Daphnia pulex: one gene and its partners. The protein of the gene in region 5 purifies or fractionates together with the protein of the main gene of each other region. This does not show direct contact. Links are inferred from orthologs where the notes say so. Each region holds a gene or a part of one and is shown on either strand. Other genes may lie near its edges.

Region 1 (4,928 bases), on a different chromosome or scaffold from region 5:
TTTTTACCCTTTCACGAATGTCATTCAACTAAAAAATTGTGTGCACACAAAGACTCGACAGGATTATATGTACGAAATCACGTTGAGTTTTTGTTTTTCACGCGGGACACACACTGAACGATGGAAATAGGCACAGTTTTTCGTCGGGGTGTATACGGAATTTTTTGATAATTTTCAAAATAAATTGTTTTGGTGTTGGCTGTGTGCACACACACACAGCTCGCGAATACGGTGGCGTGTGTGTGCGGGACTGCTGCACGACTGAAAATGTAGGTCAAGGCCTCGCTCTGCAGTGAGCCAGGGCTCTCTCACGAACCGAATAGTGTGGGCGGCGTTGCCGAAAAAGTCTTTTTTCGCCTCCTCTTCTGCTGCTGTGTGTGTGCTGATTTCCCTTTTCGCTGGCTTGACTTGCGACGGATTTGACACGAAATTATTGCGGGTGCACTCACGGACGACTGAGGGTTCGGGAGCGACGCCTTTACCTCACCAGGTGATGCGTCTCTGATTGGTGCACCTCTCGAGGGCTCGGGTGTTGGCGGGTTATACATGGTGGTAACTTCTTTTTCTACCCTCCCCTTCTTTTTCGTGGTAAAAATTACTTACACAAAAGTCGTAACAAACGGACGCAAATAAGCGACGAGTTTAGGACATTCAGAGCCACCTATCAACCGAAACTAGCAGCTTGACCGAAAGTGTTTTTGTATTTTTTGTCTTCTTTTCGGGTGTACACAATTATTACGAGGCGGGAAGAAAAACAGTTTAAACAGTACGTGTGAGTGTAGTTGTTTGTTTTTTTGGCGTCTTTTTTATTTTGACGGGATTATTTGATAGACGATACAAATGTGGAAAAAAAAAGCTTTTTCATTCAAAATGGAATTTTGAGTTAAGTTATGATGTCTCCATGGCGACGTCAGATTCTGTAAAAATGTTATTTTTCAATGAATACACAAAAGAAAATCTCAGACGTAATGATTCAGGTACTTACTTGGTTCGTCCTCTTCGTTAAACATGAATTCATCTTGAATGTCCTTCAGATACTGGGTGGAACGGGTTTCATCCAGGAATAGCGTGTACGCCTTTTTAATATCTTCTACGGCAATCTATTTAGATAAGAGCATAAAGCAAATGATTAATAACGTGCTGTCTGAATACAGTCTGAATACCAACCTCCATGGCCTTTCGTTTGCGAGCTATGAGATTAGCAACCGTGATGAGCTGAATGGCATAGCGTAAGCTAGTTTCCAAGGAAAGCCTCGTCAAAACGAGTAGAGCATCTTCCGTCATCTCGGCGTCTTCCTCTTCGCACCTGTGCAAAGAAAATATCAATTAAGGCAAAGCCAACGCATCAAATAATTGAAATGATAATTTTACCGGATTTTCAGAATTTGCTTCATTTCCTTTTCCACGTACGGCTGCGTGGCAATGATCACCATCCGATCAAGCAAATCAATTGGGATGCCGTGGGGACTCCGATATTTGGTTCCGCGAATTTTAGTAATTCCACGATTAGTGGCCATAATCAACACTGGCGCCATATCATCTTCCAGAGCACGATTCAAAAATGAAAAACATTCCATGTCTAGCATGTGCACCTACGTCGAGACATGACGGTACGAATAAATATATGCAGGAAGGAGAATGGTATGAAGATTTAATCACAAACTTCATCAATAAATAAAACTCCCGGGACGATTTCCGCTTTGCCCTCTTCGCGCCATTCGGCGACTTTGCTATTGATCTGGTCCCGGACTTCGGATTTGATTTCACCAGTATCCCCTATTGAATGCAAAACAAGAGATTTAATTTTGTAAACTTTCAAGGTCGGGAAATTAAAAATGTATGTGAGCTCACCAGAGAAGAGGGCGAGAAAACCCTGAGTTCTGCTATTGATTACGTCAATCTCGTGCAAGGTGACTGTGTGAGTCACTTCTTTCCGCTTTTGTAATTCGCCTACGTAAATAGAATAGGAGTGGTGTAAGAATATCGTACGATGTCGTCGTCGTCGTCGTAAACCACTTGACCAAAACTGGAATTTAAATAATATACCTTCGGGACACTGAACAAATCTGGTTTGCGGTCCAGTTGCGTCGTAATCCCTAGCCCTAGTGAACGATCGTCCGAGTTTCGAGATCTTGCCAGTGGCTTTGTCGATGGTAATGACGTCTCCAGCTTGGGCCTGAACCACACAAAGATATGTATACAAAATTGAAACACTTTTGTCAAACAAATTACACACCTTTTCCTTGATGAGGGATTCAATCATTTTGTTGCCCAAATCGTACACAGTTTCCATGTCTGTTGTCTTTAATGTCAGCTTTCCAACTTTAGCACCAGTTCCGGTAGCAGGTCTATCAATTTGAACTTCAACAACCTCACCCTCAATGATCTCAGTTTCTTCTCTGTTGAAAACAAATGAAAAATAAGGTTACAAGATTTCTAGGTTGAACAAATTTTGAGTTCACATCTACTTGATTCGAACTCCAATAGATTTTCGAAATGCTTGAGTTAGAGCTTCAGTTTTGCTCATTTCAAGGCTGTAGATTTCCGATCCGGCCATGGATGTGAAAGGTGTGTTGTCCCCGAGAGCCTGTGCCATACCCATGGCAATTGCAGTTTTGCCTAAAAAGTAAACCAAAGTGTTATAAACCAAATAATGGGATGTTTATTGCAGATTCAAAGACAATGTTAACCTGTTCCTGGCTGTCCAGCAATCAATACTGCTCTCCCCGCAATTTTTCCTTCTCTAATCATTTCCAGTACCACACCAGCAGCTCGTCGTGCTGTCAACTGGCCAACCATGCCTTGGGACACCTAACAATCATTTTGATATGTAACTTGTACGATTCTTTTATTCAAATTATTCAAAAGTACTTCTCTTGGTTCCAAAGCATCATCAAGTCCAAGACCTCGAATGTGAGAGTGAGTACCGATTCGTTCAATTCGAGAGAATTCTCGCACTTCTGCTACTTTAACTGATGGGATCGCCTAAAAAATGAAACGATATGGTCCAGAAATAAAAAAAGCACACAAGGGAAACGGAAAAATTAGCCATTTTATCCAAAATAAAGAATTATAACACGTGTATATATTACCGCCATGATTTGCTTTTTACAGTGCGTTGAGTTTCCTATCCTTCCCGTTCAACGCCGGTGGTATCCATGGAAACGGTTTTGAATTGATTGTTCGCTTTACATTCTTTTTTAAAGCATTTGTAATATTATACATCAACATTAAATTTTATTAAATTAAATTATATGAAATTTTAAAACACTTATCGACTTATTTACTACTTTCCTCGAATCTTAAAAAAATTATCAAACATGGCAATGCTGATTTTAGCTCCAACTTTCAAAGGCATAAAAAGGAGCAATGATTTCTTGACAAAAGCTCATTAGCTAGCCTAGTGGCTGTCTGAAACACATCTTTGGTGTCGATTACTACTTCAACGCAAACGTAATCAAATTTTTTTTTAGATTTTTTATGCATATATTCGATTATGATTGTTTTACACAAACCATTTAGCATCTACTGACTTTTTCCAAATGAAAATTTTAGAAAATGTGGAATTCAGAATGTTATAAAGTAAAATTTGTTGGATCAGAGACACGTGCATTTTCAGGACAAACGTTAAGTGAATTCAGTGTACATTGAGTGAGACATAGACTTAGAGAGATTTTCATTTTTGTAACGGGATTCCCAAACGGGAGAGAAAGAGACTTGTGTTACTTTTCACATGGAAAAAATATACCTCGATTTTTGTAAATTTTCATTCTTTTGTAGATGAACAGTTTCATGGTTGACATAGTATTTTAGCAGGGTTGTTACTTTAAATGTAAATAACAAAACAATTATACATTTTTGATTAACCGTGTTTCGCTGTCACCGTCTTCCGTAGTGTAGGTGTTATTCCGCCAGTAAAGTAATCTAAATAGCTCAACAAAACCAACTGAACACTGTTCTTTACCAATTTGCCAGCTAATTTGGTTGTTTTTCTAGGCAAGTCTTTGTCTGAAAGCTAAAAATGGGAAGTAATCGTTCAAAGCATTAGAAAGAGACGACAAAAAATGTGTGCAAATCAATTTGCCATTATATTTATTACGTACTATGTTGTTGATATATATAATCCTTCGGTGAAAATTGCCGCGAAGTCCCAAAACGTGATATTTGTCAATTTTTCTTCCTTCTTCCGCAAAGTTAATTGGGGGCCTGGCTTGTACTACTTCCAGCCGATCTGCAACCTCGTATGTAGTAATTGTTCAACGAATGATTAAGAATTCATTAATTATTTCGTAAAACAAGAGGCTTACCAAAAACGACAAAAGCAGAGCTCCGAATAACAGAGTCTGGGACACCATGTCGCGATTTTGGTTTTAGTCAAAGTGGCCGAAAAATTTAGCCAGGTGTTTGTTTTATACCGCCAAGTTTGTAAAAGGTAACACCTGAAGGCATTGTTTCACTTAAAAAAGAAAATTCTGCGACCCATTTATCAAAGGAAAAAATCCCCTATTCCCTTGGGTGACGAAAACCAAAACTTGATATGTAAATGAAACAAGTTGGTTGTTTTTCAAAAGGTTAAATTGGCAACTAGAAATCATCAGATTTCTATATGTAGATTTATGTTTATACAGTCGCTTTGATGGTATAATAAATTCGACGTTGTCTTTCGACAAGTTGTCCGTCTGATGGCTTCATCGAAGCAAACGTGTAATCATTAATACAAATTGATTCTAGTTACGCTTATCTTGTTCTTTTCACGACAATAATTCAAATACTACAGATAAGAAAATATTCTGCGTAATCAATTGCCAGGTTTATTCAGGATAATTTGGACAATGGGAAGAGGATGCGTAATCCACTTTGTAGACCGGTTTATTCGGGGCATTCCCCCGAGAACTGTAATTGCAGACGTAAAACTGTTTGTAAGGTTG
Region 2 (4,010 bases), on a different chromosome or scaffold from region 5:
TTTTAACTTCAGAAAGTTGCATTTGCTTGAAAAACTTAAGTGTGTGGATTTGGCTTTGTTTAATATTTTCTAATATTTTCAGATAAATGGAGTCCAGCTTTGCAAATTCGGACAGTGCTGTTGTCGATTCAAGCTCTATTGAGTGCGCCCAATCCCGATGATCCATTGGCCAATGATGTTGCTGAGTTGTGGAAAGTCAACGAGGTAGAAGCTATTCGTAATGCTCGAGAATGGACCAGAACTTATGCTATGGGAAACATATGAAACCTGGATCTGTGGAAGGAAAAAGAGTAAAATTGTCAATCCGTTACCGAGAAATTGTGTTTGAATTTAGATTATTTTGCTTTCTTTTGTTCCTCGTCCATCAGCCTTTGTCGACTGATTCCCCTCCCTTCAATTGGTTGAACTGTCCCCGATGGTGATCAGCCAAAAAACTACATTTTGCTCGTTCTTATATCCCAATCTTCTTTTGTTTGCTCGTCAAAAGTTCTATCGACGGTTCATTCCAATTCACGCGTCGTTAAAATGATCGTCGATAGCCTACACTTTTTACCGTTTAGTACCACGAGTACCTCAAAAGGATACTAAAGAATAATAAAAATGCCGTCACCCGTGGAAGTCTAGAGTATCAAATTGTACAGCTGTGTATTTACTTGTCGTGGATGAGGAGGGTGAAATTATAAAGACGGATGAGAGCGCACATTTATCACGAAACGAAAACCATCCACTCGACAGACATAATCAATTTTTTACCAAATCTTCCCCGACCTCTTCGCACCGTTCAGATGAGGTAGGTTCAAACCGAAAAAGGGAAGCGAATATTGGTACTGAGATCCGATCAGAAACAGGAATTCCCAACACTCAAAAATAATCTCCAACATTATGGAATTTCGTGGTTACAAAAAAAAAAAAGGGAAAAACTTTGAATCCAGAATAGTTATAGACAACTGCCTCTTGGTTTTTCATGTATAGTTTTCGGTTTGGACGTCTGTCGCTCCAGTTCTATCTCACTGAAATTCGGTTGGGACCAAATTATAGCCTTTATAGATATTTAAAAATTATATACTTCTTGGCAGTTGAGAAAAGATCGGTATGGGGTCAATTGGGTGCGCAAACAAATACAGTTCAAATAAAATACCTCGAGATGCTAAATAATAATAAAAAAATGAATCACGAGCAACGACTTTAGTCAGTCTGAATGTTCTTGATCTGCAGGGGAAAGATCGTTGCCGTGATTGCTGGCACTACTGCTAGAACTACTGGTCGTGTGTCCAGCATCCAGATCAAGGTTACTGGGAGATGTTGACTTGCTGCTAATTTTTGGCCGAAACTCAGTAATGACTACTGTCACATTGTTCACTGTCACTTCTTTGTGCATAGCAGTGCTTCTGTCAACATTTTTCAACCTATTTTAAACAAACAATTAGCAAGTCACACTGAAGGATAGATATCAAATTTTGTTTTAACAATTTTATTAAAACATACCTTGGTCTGGCTTTACTGTTCCTGGTGGGGTTTCCATCTGATGATTTCCTCTCAGATTTATCTCTTTCTTTAGATTCCTTCTCTTTTCTATTTTTGTTAGCTAAGGAAGGATTGAACACTTGAGGTACCAACTGAGGATTGAGCCTTGGTTTCCTGAAAACGTGCAAGTTTTGTCACATCTGTTAAATGTTTAGAAATGGTAATATTGCTAAGGAAAAATTACCTGGTTGAGGTTCCTTTTCTTACATCACACATTGAACATTTAAATGCCTCTGCATTATTTCTGTAGGTACCTATGTAAATAATACAATGTTCGTCACCATTTGTCAACATCTTTTGTTTTCATATTGCGCTTTGTCAACTTACAGACACTGCAGTCCCAGTAATTTTCTTCAATTTGCTTGCTACTCCGCTTCGCCCTTCTTGAAGGTACAGAAACCCCCATTAATATGATTGAAATACTTATAACTAGCATAATTCATAGTTACAAAAATAAATAAAAACAAGAATATGGTCGGTCAAGGCTACACAATAGGTGTACGATTGTCCCAAGTCCTTCCCTCAAAATCGAAAGAAAATAAATGGATAAATTTACCTTGCATTTGGACTGCCTTTCTTTGAATCCATGATCAAAACGATGTGAATCAATCAAAATAATTCAACTACTCGCAAACTTCGAATTAAAATGTAGGAATGGCATTACAAAATACGTTATTAATACGCGTTATTCTGTGCTTTTCGGCTACAAACAAGATATCGATTATCGTGTGATCGATACGGAAACTTTGACATTATTTTCAAAACAAAACATTGTGATTTGGAAAGAATTTCTTTTTATCAAATGCTTTACACTATATAATAAATATTATGGGGTGCGGATTGAACACTTTTTCCAAAAAAACTTTTCAAAAATCGATTACCATATTTGATTTAAAAACAAATTGATAATCGTTTTGAATATTGAAATCAAGTTGAAAATAAATTCAAAAATTGAAAACGTTTTGAAAATGAATTCATAAATTGAAAATGATTTTGATAAATGAAAATGATTTTGAAAAATGTAAATGATTTCGAAAAACTAAAATGAATTTGAAAAACTAATATGATTTCGAAAAATGAAAACGAATTTGAAAAATGAAAATGAACTTGAAAAATGAAAATGAACTTGAATATCCATACAATTTCGGGAGTGCGATATGACACCACCCTACTCTATCCCCAGCTCTCTCCGGATGCTATAGCCACCCCGAGACAACCGACTAGCCATTGATGGCTATGTCGCTGATTCCAGCCAGCAAGGCCGTCAGCGATACTGTCAGCCCTTGCCGGGCGGTGCTGGCCACCGCTGCCGCCACAACGGCCGCCGCTAAAGTCTCTCTCGACCGCAGGCCGAGTATTACCCTACACAAAAATAGATTACACGATCCAACGTGAAAAGTTTCATGTTCCTGCAGTAAATGACACACAGCCTACCCAGCAACGATGAAGACGCGTGAAGACGGAACGGCCGAATGGGTGGCTTTCACCTGAGAAAAGTTCCAGTCACGCCTCGGTATGACGTTCTCGCGAAGTTCTCGTCATTCCACTAACTGCCAATTGCCCGGAAAGAAGTGTTCTGGTACGTTTCGCTGGATAGGCCTATGCGTCCTGTACTGCTGCGATACTCTGCCGTTCAATCCGACGAGAAGAAGAAGGCGGACACGCGACACGCCGTCTTGCTGACGTGGATCCTCATGTTGGTGCTGGCCCTGCTGGAAATTATCCGCTATCTAAGCGGATTGGGGAGCTGGACTTCTCTATTGTCTCTACGTCTTTGCCATGTGGTCCACTTGCGCCGGAAGTGATATACAATTGGGCCATTTCCAAGGAAGAGCTCATTGGAAGGATGGCTCTGTCTCAGCTGCAGCGACGGATTGAACACCAAAAATTGGCGCAACGTCTATCTTTTCTACCATCATGGAGGCAGCGGACATGGCGGTGGAGGCCAAAGAAGAGGATCCAAATGGTCATGTTGCTCATGTCCGTTTCAACAGAAAAGCTTTTTTTTCATGGCCGGCCTCAAATAAAAGTAGTCGTATAGGAACATGAAACTTTTCACGTTGGATCGTGTAATCTATTTTTGTGTAGGGTAATACTCGGCCTGCGGTCGAGAGAGACTTTAGCGGCGGCCGTTGTGGCGGCAGCGGTGGCCAGCACCGCCCGGCAAGGGCTGACAGTATCGCTGACGGCCTAGCTGCGCCTAGCTGGCTGGAATCAGCGACATAGCCATCAATGGCTAGTCGGTTGTCTCGGGCTGGCTATAGCATCCGGAGAGAGCTGGGGATAGAGTAGGGTGGTGTCATATCGCACTCCCGAAATTGTATGGATATTCAAGTTCATTTTCATTTTTCAAGTTCATTTTCATTTTTCAAATTCGTTTTCATTTTTCGAAATCATTTTAGTTTTTCAAATTCATTTTCAATTTATGAAATCAATTTCAAAACATTTTCAATTTTTGAATTTATTTTCAACTTGGTTTCAATATT
Region 3 (5,012 bases), on a different chromosome or scaffold from region 5:
CTTCATAATATCAAGGAAATCATTATAAACCTGAGGTTGGTTGCCAAACTTGTATTTGACCTGATCCAAATATGAAAGGGCATCTTCCACCTTCAATCGCTGAAATTGCTGGGCACCAGGGCCATGAGGACCAGCAGTCATTTGCTATAGAGACATACATAGTTAGCAATAACGGACACACACAAACTATTAAATGTTTAAAGTTTCTCACCTGAAAAGCCTGTTGCATTGTATTTTGTTGCTGCTGTTGTGTCTGCTGAGATGTTGATTGACCTGTCGGAGGAGATCCAGCTGGGGCAGCAGCAGTAGCCAAACTGTGACGTGCTTGTTGATGTGCCAGGGACTGATGGAAGATGTGTTGTTGCTGAGCCACAACTTGTGTTGCTCCACCAGCAGTGGAGGCTTTCGTTGTTTGAATAGTAGTAGAGAATGGCACTGGTGGGCTGGTGCCAATAGGACCAATTGTAACTGTGGTGCTGCCATTCGCAGCTGCCACAAACCCACTTGTACTAAAAGAGGCCATACTTGCTGCTATGGAGGGCTCCTATTTAGCAATGAATATATTGAGTATACAGGCACAGCAACACTATGGGAAAAGGATGTACCTGTAACTGATTTGCAGCGTTCCTCAAGTCTCCAACTAGTATTGCATTCACCATAGGTGACGTAGGGGAGACGCGGCCGGACTGGATTGATCCACTCAATGGTCGTGCTACAGACTCAACGGCGGAGGGCGAAATGTGTACGGAATCTTCGTTGCGTTTCATTCTCAATCCAGCTGTAGGGCATTGCTTAGACAGCCGACTGTAGAAGAACACAAATCACAGACAGTTAGTAAACAAATCCCACTGGACGCCAGCAATGCAGTTTTCAGAGTCATTTTTATTTTTAAGCTAAATACACTTTTTGCAGAGCTGCGTCTGTTGCTCAGCGGACGGATCGATTATTCAACTAACCCGGGAGTCTTCTTCCTCGGGTCTCAACACAAATATCGATCCCACCGCCTTTCCCGCCCAAAGAGAAACGACAACATTGCTGCCGGACAAAGGAAATCGGGAATTTACAGACAACAACTGGATTTAAAGAAATATTAACTGAAATTTGTTGCTGCAAATAAATTTAAAAAGACAGTTTTGTTCATTTAAAAGGGATGTTCGAAATTAAACGTCAATTGCCACGAGATTTCAAATGCTTTCCGGAAATAGTATGTGGGAGACGGAGTATACTAAATATGGCAACGTTGCGGTCCCACTAAAACCGCTTTTAGACCATTCAGAACGGACTTGTACCTATCAATAGACACGTTCAATCAACAAAAATCCCGTTTTCGTCATGCATCCAACAACCTCTGTAACAATGAAAAAATAGCGATATTCCACTGTTTTCCCTCTGAAACCATTATCATAGACTTTACTTTGCAGCAGAACTAACGCAGACTAAACACTGGAGGAAATAGTGGATGCGAAGCGCTTCGATAATAACGCCGACCTAAGTGGACCGACTCCATATTGGGTAGAATTCGAAGGGAGACGCACAACCTCAGAACAGCTGTGAAGCGGTTTGAAACCGATTTCTTATTGGCTCATCGAAAGGCGAAAAAGAGCGGTCTCCGCTTCACTTTGGCCAGCAATGAGCACAGGAATGCCGTACACAACACACGTCACATCACATAATAAGACATTTCTTTTGCTACAAGTTTTCAAGTCTCACGGGACTTAAAAACTCTTCCTCTGTTCAAATCTAGATCATTACAATTCCATGTCAACCATTTGTTATCAAGTAAATTATGTTAAAAGAATGGGAAATGAAAGACGAGCAATCACGACCAAGACACGACTAAAATGAACGAGTCGATTACGAGAAATCAAAGAAAACGTAAGGTCAATGAAGGTCACCTTTAAGCAGCGTAAATGAATGGTGAATGTCCATGTGAAGAAACTATGAAAACCGAAGATCGAAAGTTTCACACAACGCCGACGCTTACACTGTGTTTCTGCTTAAAGCAGCAGTAGTACTAAAAGAGAAACTATGGCCGTCGTTTTTCCCCCTCTCGTTTAAGCTCGGATAGTTCCAAGAAACTATCGCCGGATTGAGTACACTAACGGTCGAATCACGTGAAACTCGAGTTGCAAACCCTTTACTCAATTTAATTCACGATGAAGAAGAAATGGCGTTCACTTTCTTCAGGAATCTCTCACTATGCCACACAGAGAGCAGAGGCAAACATGTACACACACACGTCGTCTGGGATCTCTCACAACTAGGTGACGACGACCCAGAGGCTTTTCACTGTAGTGCTCTTTCGAAGAGTGACTCGAATTTGCTGGCGTCTGAAACTACCGACACTACTCGCCATGCCTGATACGGAGCGACTAGTGCTGGCGCTGGAAACCATCAACAATCGATCGCGTTAAGACTTGTAACTCTGATAACAATATTCGCCGCTCGTTCTCATGTCACTTGCGATAAACACAATTTCGAAATGTGGAAAATGACGTTTTATTTCGATTTTTAAAAAACTCTAAAAATGCGAATAAACTAGTTGGTAAACCGGCAATGCTGCACTATCGGGATGCAGCGAAACGAGGGGTTGGGTGTTGTTTGGGAGAGGGGGTAGAGAGGCCTGGCCTGCCTGCTCTCAAAAGGTCCGGAAACGCGTAGCCTGAGGGAGGTAAGAAAATCCAGAATGATGGGGTTGGGTAAAGGGACACAAACCATCAGCTGTGTTGCCACGCTCAAACAGCCCAAGTTCGATCCTAGAGAGCTCAACACATACTAAACGATCATGTCTTTCTATAATTAACGTCAAAACCGTACTTTATTTGACTTACGCGATTAACAGGTTTTGATAACGATAAAACGACGCTGAAACATTCCCATTCCATCAAATAAACATCTTGCGTGAACTTGCAAATTCTTCGTGATGCCGTGATGCCCAAGAAAACCATTAACGAGATGAATAACGAATAAAGTCGAATAACTTACCAAAAGAGAGAAAATGTTGCTAGTTAAGTCTCTAGTTGATCAAAGATCACTCAAGCATGCTTCTTAAAGTGAGAAAAATCACTGAAATTCACCAACAATTGAAATACACGTTAGTTGTTTAAGAGAGGAACAGAGGTATTAACTGGCCAGACGACGAATGATGGCGGCGAGATGGGAAAATACAGCAGGCGCTGTTTGAAAGCGGGAAGTTATGTTCAAACTGAATAGGAAAATGGCCATCTATCGTACAGTACTAAAAGCTATTTTTTTTTCACGAAAATCTTTAATCCATCTATCACGTTCAGAATCACGAATTTGATAAAACATAAACATACGAATTTGATAAAAAGACATAAAATAATAATAACAGCATAATTTAAACGTATATATGGTGTATTTCAATACAGCAAAAATTATTTAGAATTGAGAGCCATTGCATTAGAATTTTAAGTCTTTGATAGCTTGAGGTAGATCTGGAAGTTTAATATCTTTTATCTGCTGAGGAATGTTGGGTAAATTAGGAAGATTCACATTCTTGAGGCTAATAAGCCCTGCTTCTGATTTTTCTAGTTTATTTTGATCTTCTATCCGACTTAAAATTTCAGACATGTTGGTCTCCAAAACCATTCCTCCCATGACTAACTCATTCAAGATGTAATGAACCTAGAAGATATCAAAATAGTAGAAAATTAAAAGACAATTGACAAGTGAAGGAATAAATAAATGTACCTTATCCACATGGAATATCAAATCCAGTTCACAAACATTTTCAAAGCAGCGATCCAAGGTTTCAACAAATACCTGAATGAGATCTAGTATACCTAACTCAGATTCAGAGGAATCAACACAGAACACAAAATATAAAGTAGCATAATGGCGATAGATCAATTTATAGTCAGATCCTCCTATCAAACTGAAATTCAGAATTAAAAACTATTTTTATAACAAATTATAACTAAACATACCTTCCACCTTCAAGGAAATTACAGACATTATCATCGCGCTTACTAACAAGCTGAAAAGTTTCACGAACAATCTGCTGTTGCATGTCTTCATTCTGTCACAACTTCACTTGTTAGTTTCAATAGTATAAAGCGCCTAAACGTTTTCAACTTACAAAATATTGGTAGAATTTGGATAAACGAGGTTTTCCATGATTGTTAAACACGAGTATAGCTTTGATCATTTCCGAAGAATTAGATTTCAAGAATGAAACAAGTACTCAGCACACACGATCTGTCAAGACAGACGAAACAAATAACGACAATTAGACATCTTGTGGTCAGATTTAGAACTTTGATTCCAAAATTTTAAATAAATAAATAGGAAATGTCAATGTCAGTCATAATGAAATATTTATTTTGGATAGTCGGACATTACTCGCAGGTTTAATTTTCATACATTGACTTTGTCCTTAATGTCACGACCGTAACGTGTCAATCGTCTGTTGCACAATAAGACGTCATATTAGCATTGCAGCATAGACATGTCCCAACATGTCCGCGGTTTTAAGATGTACCCTTTACGATTTGCGTGTTAGAAGGAATTATACGAGACTTGCCATGTTAAGGCTTATTTGCACAGATACACTTTATACTTTTCAGACAGTTAAACAAAGACTCAGAATAGCCTTGACAATGCAACTTGTATTCACTCTTTACATATGAATGGTATCTTAGATGAAGTACAATAAGGTGCAGCCAGGCCAAACTGCATATTTCTTCAATGTTGTTTCCTGCGGAAAGAGCAGCCTGAATAGAAAACGATTTGATTAGTTTTGCAAAGAAACTAACATGAATTCTGTTTAACATTCTACACTGCTACTTTCAGGAGACATCAAGATTATTGTTATATTGAATCATTTACCTTCAGTCAACCTGGCTCGTCCACCAGTTGGTTGACACAACACTGCTGAGCAGCCAGCACACACCACAACAGTCTGTGCATGGGAGAAAACCGTGGTGATCTTGTAACAGCCTAGGAACAAAGAAATGTATCACAACAAACATCATATACTGGTGTTTGAG
Region 4 (4,708 bases), on a different chromosome or scaffold from region 5:
TATTCCAGCAACGTTTCAGATTATTTACATGATCGGGTGGAAACCTGATCCTTCACAGCCTAAACCCCTCGAGCGCGGAACAGGAGAAATATCCATTAAAGATCTCTATCGGCTCGATGAAGTCGTGAAAAATGCCACCGAGAACATGGTCAAGCAAACTGCTAAAGAAATTACTCACAATTTGGAGGATAACGACGGGAAAAAGATGTAACGCTTGTTGTTCTCCTTAATTTATTAGTTTCACAATAAAGCCTTCCATAGTCAACCTACTGGAATGTGATGAGTTATTTGCATTTGTCGGTGTCGCAAGCGACGTGTTTCGAGACACCCGAACAATAGCCTTTTCATGGTTAGTGCTCATGAAACCGACGACCATCGAATCAGTTGTGAAGGCCATGTTGAAATCTATCGAATCTTCGCTATAATACGCCACTAGAACACCACCCATCCGGTCATAGACGTCATCAGACAGCATTTCTGAATGGATGAACTCGTCACACATGAGCTCTTTCAAGTGGAAAGCCGGATCTCCTCGCTCTAATATGGTTTGACCAAGCTTCTTGGCCAAGGTTGTTTGGATGAGTTGCTCGCCACAACCAGAAGTTGACACAGCAACACCACCGGAGCTGGAATGCTGCGCCCAACAACCACAGCCGTAAACTGGCACCTATCGCAATATACACATTGTAAATGACTACTAAAATGACAAGAAGGAATAAAGGAAAACCTGTCCAACTCGGCCGGGAAGCTTCATAGCAATTCCTCCCGAACTCGATGCACTTGCAATGTCACCATTCGTATCTATGCAAATTACTCCTACTGTATCCTAGATTTAAAAAATAACCATGATATTTGGATAACATTACTTTAGGAAACCAAATATATTACTTGACTTGGGTTTGGCTGCACTGTGATCTTTAGCCCACTTGATAAAGCTTTTCTGGATACTTCCAGCCGTTCTTTATATTTCTTATACTTTCTCATGGCTTTGTCAGATATAAGAGTGCTATTGTGAACAAGATTCAAACCTCGGTTTTTAGCAAAATCAGACGCTCCTTCTCCTACTAGAACACTAAAAAAAAGGCTGTGTTAATTTAACCACTCATTTTAAGTGATGCAAATGGTATTTTGAATTACAGTGGAGGTGTTCTACCAAGAAGTCTTGGTTCATTCTGGTATAAAATGATTTCTTTGGCTACCATTATAGGATTTTTAATACTTTTAAGTGATGAGACTGCTCCAAATCGTGTGTTTCTTTGATGTTTCAAAGACAACATGATTCCTGCATCACATTCAACTTCACCGCTCTCAGTGAGATTGGAGCCATATCCTGCATTAGTTAGTGGTGAATCTTCTAATATGCAAACCAATTCACACGTAACATCTAGTGCAGATTTTCCTTCTTGCAATAAAGCTGCTCCCTGGGAAAAACTTATCAAGTCAAACTATGAAACCATGAATCACTAATAGAAAGCCATGCCTTTTCACACGTTATTTTGCAAAGTTTTTTGTAAATAGCTTCAGATTTTGAACTATGGCAGCCTGCTCCAAGATGAATAGCAACAAATCCATACTGTGACATTTTTGCACTTTTATGGTTTAAATTTTGTCGAGAATTTTCATAACCGAAATTTCATTTTACAATTTGAAATGGGACTGATCGGTCCAGTTTGTGAGAGAGCTAGCAGAAGACTACCATTTCCAACCGGCAAAAGCGGCAATGTCGCTCATGGCCGCGCACTGTTGTTTTGAAAGCTTTTTCTCTAATGAAGACCGAACAGTCATTGTCAAAAATGAAAGAAGAGATTGTAGATAAAGATCTGTTTTCAGATTCAACTGTATGAATTTTTACATTATTTCATTAGAAACCATGTTTAATTTTGTTTATTCTATTATCTAGGCATCTGTTGTTGAAGGCTGTCGGTTGCCTGTACGGATGAGAAACACCGAAGACTGGCGTAACATTTGTTGCTTTGTTATCATTTTATAGATTTGAAAGTTTAATTGTGGTTTTTCTTTTGTTATCATTTAGCTCTAGCCGAAGTACTCAGTGTCAAAGATATCTGCAACATCAGGATGTTTTATGTCCATTACATCGACTGTAAGTTTTGTATATGCTATGTTTAACGATACATCATCTTACAAAATTTTTAATTCAACTCTAGTCAACAAACGACTTGATGATTGGGTCTCAGAAGATTTCTTAGATACGAGAAAAATTCAGTTTCCTAGAAAAGATGGAACTCAAGTAGGCACAGGCATGAGTACTCCTAAAAAAGTTGGAGGAACAACTGGTTCTTCCCGTCCTTCTTCCCCACTAGCTGCATCCAGTGCATCAGACCTTACTGTCAATGGGTCTGCTCTACTGGCTGCAGCAATACAAAAGAGAAATGGAAGAAAACGTAAAATTGGAGAAAAAGAAGAGCCCAGTCCAGGATCCATTATTCCAATCCCACCTGCCAAGAAACTTATAAGTAAAGTTATTTTATTTCATTAATTCTTTACATTTTTCATAAATTCTTTTAAATTTTATTTTTATAGAAATTGAAAAAGAATTACCAGCAATCCCCACTCTGCCACCCACCGTAGTTAGCGATAGTTGTGCTGTTCCTACAAGTAATTAGTCATTTTTTCTACAATCTATTTATTATATATAAATGATTATTAAAACTAAAATTTTCTGCATAGGTGATTCAGTTTGTGAGGTAGGAGATGCTAACTCTCCGGCCCCACCGTCCACCCCTGCACCGACTACACCAGGGCCACGTCAGTCGGGCAGTCTTGTTACACATCACGATGACGTTGTAACACGAATGAAAAATATTCAAATGATTGAACTCGGCAGACACAGAATAAAACCTTGGTATTTCGCACCCTACCCTCAGGTATGTCATCATCTAACGAACGTAAAGATCCGAAATGTTTACTATTCTTTTTCAAAAATTAGGAAATGGTTCACCAAGCTTGTATTTACATATGCGAGTTTTGTCTCAAGTACCGGAAAAGTGAAAAATGTCTAGAACGTCATCTGGTAATTTAAAATTTTACGATATATTTTTAATTGGATGATCAACCCTTAAACTTTTTCTACAGATGAAGTGCAATCTTAGACATCCGCCAGGCAATGAAGTTTACCGCAAACAGACAATTTCTTTTTTTGAAATCGACGGCCGTAAAAATAAAGCATACGCTCAGAACCTATGCCTGCTAGCGAAACTGTTCCTTGATCACAAGACACTGTATTACGACACTGATCCGTTCCTCTTTTACGTCATGACTGAAGTGGATGCACGAGGTTTTCATATCGTCGGCTACTTTAGCAAAGAGAAAGAAAGCTCGGAGGACTACAATGTCGCCTGCATCTTAACATTACCACCCTATCAACGGAAAGGATATGGAAAACTTCTTATTGAATTCAGTGCGTACAGAATCGTAAACCCAAGGGGAAATATTTTTTTAAAACCATTTTTGTTTACGTAAAGGTTACGAGCTGTCCAAGTTCGAAGGCAAAACGGGCTCGCCAGAAAAACCTCTGTCCGATTTAGGGTTGCTGTCTTATCGCAGTTACTGGGCTTTTACAATCTGTGATATTCTGATGAATATGAAACCATCCAGTGAAGGTGAACGTCCTCAAATTACCATCAAGTAAGTGATGTAAATTACTTCATTCTAGAGCTCACGTTGACAAACGAATTCGTTTTAATTTAAATAGCGAAATTTGCGAAATGACGAGCATTAAAAAAGAGGACGTGGTGTCCACCTTACAGCATTTGAACCTCATCAATTACTACAAGGGGCAGTACGTACTCATTCTGAACGAAGAAGCGATGAAAAATTGCATAAAAAACAAAGAGAAATGGAAATTACACATCGATCCCAAATGCTTGCACTGGACACCGAAAGACTGGTCCAAAAGAGGGAAATGGTGATGAGATCGCACCTACAATCCATTCCGCGATCTTGCTACTTCTTTGCTTTTTTTTAAAAAATACACTCACAATTTCTATGTACAAGAATTCCAAATTCAAATGTCCTGTTTCTCTTGGTTATTCTTGTCTGTTACGACAACAGCTTCACGGTTCTCGTATGTCCAAAATCCATCCAAATCAATCAAGATATTGATCACAGTTTCACCGTATCCACTGAGCCAGAAAACGTTCAATGACAATCTTATTCTAAAAAAATTCTAAATGAACTTTGTGTGTTACCAGTTAATCAAATCATGTAAAGTGATTTTTGACGGATCGGCAGGACGCACCATATCGAAAATCTCATCATTGACGTCGTCAAAAGCAACGACTTCTTGTTTGTGCTGCTGCATCAACTCTTGAACCCCCTGCAAAGCATTTTTTTTTTTTTCAAGATAAGAAAGTCAAAAGGTCAAATGAGGAAATTAATACTTTGAAGTAAAAATGGAGGTCAAAAGTGTTGAGATGGTTTCGATGATTGACGTCCAACAAACGGAAAAAATACTGAAGTGCTTGTGGTTCCTTTTTATTGTCCATGGCCAATACGAAATCCAAGTACGTTTTATAATCCATTTCTTTCTCATAGGTCATGCACTCCTCGAATACTCGTTGAATGAAAACTCGCGTCAACGTGCCAGTTCCGAATCTGAAAATTAAATTTAAAAAAAATCTTAAATGTACGTACTGCAAATTGAAATATGGTAAATTACCGTCTGAGCTCTTCCTGACAAAGCATGCCG
Region 5 (3,921 bases):
CCTTTTCTGTTTGACCCACTGAAACCTCATTTTGAGTTGACTGGACCGCCGACAGTTCTCTCTGGTCACGTTGGACCCCTTCAACAGCTCGTCTTGTGTTCGTCGTTCAGCCTCGCTGTCTCCAGTGGAAGTGATGGATCAATTATCCTCTGGGATCTTCATTCTTTGAATTTTATCCGTCAGCTCACTCCAGGTAATTCAACTTCAACATCCATCGACCCAACATTAAAATTTTTTTAAATTGCCTATAGGTCTATCAAATGACCGGAAAGATATAATACTACCAGTTTCTCAATTGGCCGTCAGTCGTAATACAGCTGATATTGCATGCGCTGTCAATCTGGACGATCAGCAGTCTCGGCTGGAATTGAGGTCAGTCAATGGGCATTTGATCGGCATGACAACGACGAATCCTCTCATTACTTCGTTGTGTTTCTCATCTGCTCCCGAGGGAATTTCTATCAATGTGGTAGCTGCCGGGCTATCCAATGGTCGCATTAGGTAATTCATCAACTAATAAGTTTGTTTTTGTTCCTACTTGTTAATTGTTTTCTCACTACAGATTGTGGGATACTTGGACCCTAAATGTCGTACGAGATATCATCACTGACTCCTCCTTGTCGATAGTCAGTTTGACATATTCGAGCACTTCACAGCATTTACTAGCCGCTAGAAACGATGGTTCTCTGCTAGCTTGGGATAGTCCACATAACCACAAAAAATCGCCTCGCTTCCCACCCTTTATCAATTTAACTTTGCAATGATGATACTTTTCAAACCCGTAGATATGATATGTAAACGCGATTAAAGAGGAGATTTTCATGATTTTAATCACAGGAAATTCAAAAAAGGATAGAATCTCTTGAAAATTTTTATAAATTTAGCTTTATAATGTTACACATGCAAATCTGAATATAATTACGGTAATCTATTCGCAAGAAAGTGATGAAACTTCATTTTTAAACGAAATTTTGTCTTTATTGGCTCGAACTAAGCACATAACAAGGATGTATCCAAATCACTCTCAGCTTATTTGCACAGCGAATGAATCAGAGCAGGGAGAGGGTGAGGTGGAAAAGTACGAAAAGAGAGTCGAATGAATCAGGACTCATGACACAAAATTGCGATTTCCTAGGTCGCAGAAGGTACAGAGACACACAAACAGTCAATATGAAGCAGATCTCAATAATTTAGCTAGACAGATGTTTTCATCTTTTTGTTGGACCGTTTCCCTTTGGTACTGTTTTCCCTATCAGAACCTTCAGAATCTTCCTGATACTTTCCAGCCTCAGCTTGGGTATGCATGTCACCTACATTAAGCATTTTGGCTTTCTCCAGGGAGCGAACTTAACAAAGAAAAGGTTAAATGTTGTACTGATGCAAAACAAAAAAAGTAAACATACTTTGAGTTTGAAGGACTTCATTTTGCCTTTTGAGATCATCAATATCCTGCTGGTGGGCTGCATTTTTCCGTCTCATGAATTGTATATAATCAGCTGCCTTCTTCAGTATTTGAGCACGGCTCGCCTGAAACCGAGAGCCATCCTACAATTTTATTAAGTGAGATTTGCTCGACACTTATGTTTTACTTTTTCTCCCTGTAACGAGGGAACTGAATCTCGAAGTCCACTGAAGCTATCCTTGATGTGATCTCTCCTTTTCCGTTCCAAGGCATTATGGTGTGCTCTTTTGTCAACCTGTTCATCCAAGCACACAAAGTGTTGATAAAGAGCTCTGTGCCAGGTAAAACACACAAATAATATCTTACTTGCTGAGAATACTGTCCAGAGCCTCGTGAATAGCCACCTCCATCCTCCTCCTACAGCAGATGATAGAAAGTAAGTTTTAGTAAGTGAATGTTTTAAAAGAGGTCAATGCAGCTAAACCATCTTGTTCAACAACTTACATCACTTTCGATATCTATATCTCGTTCATCATCGCTCATCGATGGGGAAACGGCATAGGACATGGTCGTAATCAAGCCAGACAAACTAGGGTTACCAACAAGAAGACTTCAAGCTAAGGGATCAAAATTTGCAGATTAGGGCCAAAACACTTCCAACGCAATAGTTACGTTCAAGGTGATCGAGATAAGAAACTGCTATACCAATTTGCTTAAAGCCTGATAGTCGATTTCTCTTTGTGTAAACACGTCACGAGTGTGGGCAAAGTGTTGTATTCACGAGACTAAACAGCAAGTGAACAGCGCATCGAGTTGTTGAGGTGCACTTGCGATGTTGCCAAATGAGCGCAATTCATTCCAACAGCAAAATTGTTGCCAACTTGCTAATTTCGCCCGGCAACAAGGACGACATTACGACAAGGATATTTATAATTCTTTACAAAATTAAAACAAAAAACTCCTTAGTCCTTATTATAAAAATTTGACGGATTCTGACATTTTTATTTGATTGGCGGAGGATCACTCAGAGTAAATGCGGCAAATAATAAACTATTGTGCTTCAAACACATGTTTGATGACAAAGTTGAAAATTATGGAATGCAAAATCTCTTCTCCAATCAAGGTGTGGTCACATATAAAAGGTGCGCAAGAATATACCTGCGTTAGAAGAACCACACGCGAGAAACGCTTCAATGTCGAGCGAGTAGTGAACCGAGGAGGTCATCCACTTGACTGTTTCCACATTCCACTAACTGCGATACGCTGATTTTGGGTGCGGGCAAACATAGTTTTAAAATGTCTCGCCAATAACACGCCCAAAGAAGTATAGTGACCTCCACATTACATTAGCGTTTTTTAAAAAATCCCAAAATGATAAATGATGCCCAATATTCAACCTAACACGCTAAAACAACTAAAACCTTATAACTTATATTTGATTGTCTTGGCTTCTCTTGACTGAAGGTTGTCGTCACACACGTGCATGCCGAGTGTACACCCATCACGGAGAAGAGAGTCCATATGAATAGGAAAAAATTCAGACCCAAAAAACCTTTGAGCGCTAGACCACGTATATCTTATTCCATGATTAGAATCCCGAGGCGATTGTTGCGCCAAAAGGAGAACCAGAATCTCTTGTGTTAAGGTCATTGTAGGAAAAAATTTATAAAATGGGATACTCGTTATAGTGCGATTCCTCCTCACGTCGTACCTTCTTCCAAATGGGAAAAAAAAACCGGAAAGTTTGAAGGTTGCGAATGGGGTGTGTCGGATGAGACTTGAGATGTCCATGAGATGATATTCATTGGAAAAACTAGAAGAATCGTGTATAACCAGCAGCAGCAGCAAAGCCTTGATGGTCAGTCGCGTTGTCTTCACATTTGATGCCATTCCTTGTTTAGTGTTGAGTTGGCGTCGTGCAAGTTGGATGTGCTGTTTTAACCTTTCCATCAACTTCTTTTTGTTCACGGATAACAGGAATTCAAAAGTGGATTGAACCGCGTCATTTTGGTATGAACATTTCATTCAATTACAGACTTGTATTTAAAACAAAATTTCCTTTATCTTACACCGTTCGGAACAGAAATTGAAGAAATGTCTGCTGAAGAGGATTACAGTGCTGGTTTGTTGGAGAATTCCCATAACAAAAAGCCGACTCACTCTCAGGTTATCAAAGAAGTAATCAACTGGTTTTACGGGCCCGATGCAGGAAAGCTCAGTAAAGAATGGAGCAAACGACTTTTGCGGCCGAGACCGCGTTTGACGCAGGCACTCAGCACCACCACGCCGGAATATGTCACGTACGACACGGCCAATTACCCCGTACTACACGGGCCATCCGCCAGGATTCCCTATCACGTCATCATATTAGGAGGTGTTTTAATCCTGGCCGTCTTTTATCTTTTACTTTTCCTCGTCATCAGTCGTTTACGGTGTTGTAGAAAGGTAAACCAGTTATTACACTATTTCTTGGGGAATTTCATTATGAAATATTCGCCATTTTTACAGAATCAACAGCG

What was found.
Region 1: the proteins of protein max-like (region 5) and ruvB-like 2 purify together in Homo sapiens (affinity purification with mass spectrometry; 3 studies listed by BioGRID and IntAct, with this or other methods). This does not show direct contact. The link is inferred for Daphnia pulex from reciprocal best matches to the Homo sapiens genes MAX and RUVBL2.
Region 2: the proteins of protein max-like (region 5) and YY1-associated factor 2-like purify together in Homo sapiens (affinity purification with mass spectrometry; 3 studies listed by BioGRID and IntAct, with this or other methods). This does not show direct contact. The link is inferred for Daphnia pulex from reciprocal best matches to the Homo sapiens genes MAX and YAF2.
Region 3: the proteins of protein max-like (region 5) and paired amphipathic helix protein Sin3b-like purify together in Homo sapiens (affinity purification with mass spectrometry; 3 studies listed by BioGRID and IntAct, with this or other methods). This does not show direct contact. The link is inferred for Daphnia pulex from reciprocal best matches to the Homo sapiens genes MAX and SIN3A.
Region 4: the proteins of protein max-like (region 5) and histone acetyltransferase Tip60-like purify together in Homo sapiens (affinity purification with mass spectrometry; 3 studies listed by BioGRID and IntAct, with this or other methods). This does not show direct contact. The link is inferred for Daphnia pulex from reciprocal best matches to the Homo sapiens genes MAX and KAT5.

What each region holds. Positions count from the first base shown.
Region 1 is NC_060021.1:8,103,295-8,108,222, forward strand, and holds ruvB-like 2, read right to left. Parts: upstream 3,195-4,928; 5' UTR 3,099-3,194; coding exon 3,093-3,098; intron 2,986-3,092; coding exon 2,872-2,985; exon of another isoform or gene 2,812-2,871; coding exon 2,691-2,811; exon of another isoform or gene 2,672-2,690; intron 2,620-2,671; coding exon 2,469-2,619; exon of another isoform or gene 2,430-2,468; intron 2,400-2,429; coding exon 2,237-2,399; intron 2,177-2,236; coding exon 2,047-2,176; intron 1,951-2,046; coding exon 1,852-1,950; intron 1,777-1,851; coding exon 1,664-1,776; intron 1,593-1,663; coding exon 1,372-1,592; intron 1,307-1,371; coding exon 1,168-1,306; intron 1,101-1,167; coding exon 986-1,100; intron 918-985; coding exon 889-917; 3' UTR 683-888; downstream 1-682. Other genes in the region: uncharacterized protein LOC124194162, read right to left, coding at 3,863-4,015, 4,104-4,238, 4,308-4,355. UniProt on the Homo sapiens protein: Possesses single-stranded DNA-stimulated ATPase and ATP-dependent DNA helicase (5' to 3') activity; hexamerization is thought to be critical for ATP hydrolysis and adjacent subunits in the ring-like structure contribute to the ATPase activity.
Region 2 is NC_060019.1:11,515,246-11,519,255, forward strand, and holds YY1-associated factor 2-like, read right to left. Parts: upstream 2,241-4,010; 5' UTR 2,113-2,240; coding exon 2,081-2,112; intron 1,908-2,080; coding exon 1,852-1,907; intron 1,779-1,851; coding exon 1,709-1,778; intron 1,639-1,708; coding exon 1,486-1,638; intron 1,407-1,485; coding exon 1,190-1,406; 3' UTR 629-1,189; downstream 1-628. Other genes in the region: ubiquitin-conjugating enzyme E2 N, read left to right, coding at 83-264. UniProt on the Homo sapiens protein: Binds to MYC and inhibits MYC-mediated transactivation. Also binds to MYCN and enhances MYCN-dependent transcriptional activation. Increases calpain 2-mediated proteolysis of YY1 in vitro.
Region 3 is NC_060024.1:9,531,412-9,536,423, forward strand, and holds the start of paired amphipathic helix protein Sin3b-like, read right to left. Parts: upstream 3,178-5,012; 5' UTR 2,986-3,177; intron 2,479-2,985; exon of another isoform or gene 1,896-2,478; intron 805-1,895; 5' UTR 768-804; coding exon 606-767; intron 545-605; coding exon 212-544; intron 145-211; coding exon 1-144. Other genes in the region: AP-3 complex subunit sigma-2-like, read right to left, coding at 3,424-3,648, 3,715-3,898, 3,951-4,042, 4,103-4,171; 40S ribosomal protein S27, read right to left, coding at 4,708-4,736, 4,852-4,962. UniProt on the Homo sapiens protein: Acts as a transcriptional repressor. Corepressor for REST. Interacts with MXI1 to repress MYC responsive genes and antagonize MYC oncogenic activities. Also interacts with MXD1-MAX heterodimers to repress transcription by tethering SIN3A to DNA.
Region 4 is NC_060018.1:12,585,693-12,590,400, forward strand, and holds histone acetyltransferase Tip60-like, read left to right. Parts: upstream 1-1,715; 5' UTR 1,716-1,766; coding exon 1,767-1,838; intron 1,839-1,900; coding exon 1,901-1,958; intron 1,959-2,032; coding exon 2,033-2,101; exon of another isoform or gene 2,102-2,165; coding exon 2,166-2,474; exon of another isoform or gene 2,475-2,541; coding exon 2,542-2,616; exon of another isoform or gene 2,617-2,688; coding exon 2,689-2,885; exon of another isoform or gene 2,886-2,947; coding exon 2,948-3,031; exon of another isoform or gene 3,032-3,093; coding exon 3,094-3,418; exon of another isoform or gene 3,419-3,482; coding exon 3,483-3,645; exon of another isoform or gene 3,646-3,712; coding exon 3,713-3,929; 3' UTR 3,930-4,016; downstream 4,017-4,708. Other genes in the region: arginine-hydroxylase NDUFAF5, mitochondrial-like, read left to right, coding at 1-211; threonine aspartase 1-like, read right to left, coding at 227-667, 728-826, 889-1,072, 1,138-1,421, 1,481-1,582; serine/threonine-protein phosphatase 2A regulatory subunit B'' subunit gamma-like, read right to left, coding at 4,025-4,142, 4,209-4,336, 4,401-4,614, 4,679-4,708. UniProt on the Homo sapiens protein: Catalytic subunit of the NuA4 histone acetyltransferase complex, a multiprotein complex involved in transcriptional activation of select genes principally by acetylation of nucleosomal histones H2A and H4.
Region 5 is NC_060026.1:15,127,004-15,130,924, forward strand, and holds protein max-like, read right to left. Parts: upstream 2,282-3,921; 5' UTR 2,108-2,281; intron 2,020-2,107; 5' UTR 1,970-2,019; coding exon 1,907-1,969; intron 1,820-1,906; coding exon 1,769-1,819; intron 1,698-1,768; coding exon 1,590-1,697; intron 1,546-1,589; coding exon 1,404-1,545; intron 1,347-1,403; coding exon 1,195-1,346; 3' UTR 957-1,194; downstream 1-956. Other genes in the region: lysosomal-trafficking regulator-like, read left to right, coding at 1-193, 252-501, 563-764; uncharacterized protein LOC124205464, read left to right, coding at 3,497-3,847, 3,911-3,921. UniProt on the Homo sapiens protein: Transcription regulator. Forms a sequence-specific DNA-binding protein complex with MYC or MAD which recognizes the core sequence 5'-CAC[GA]TG-3'. The MYC:MAX complex is a transcriptional activator, whereas the MAD:MAX complex is a repressor.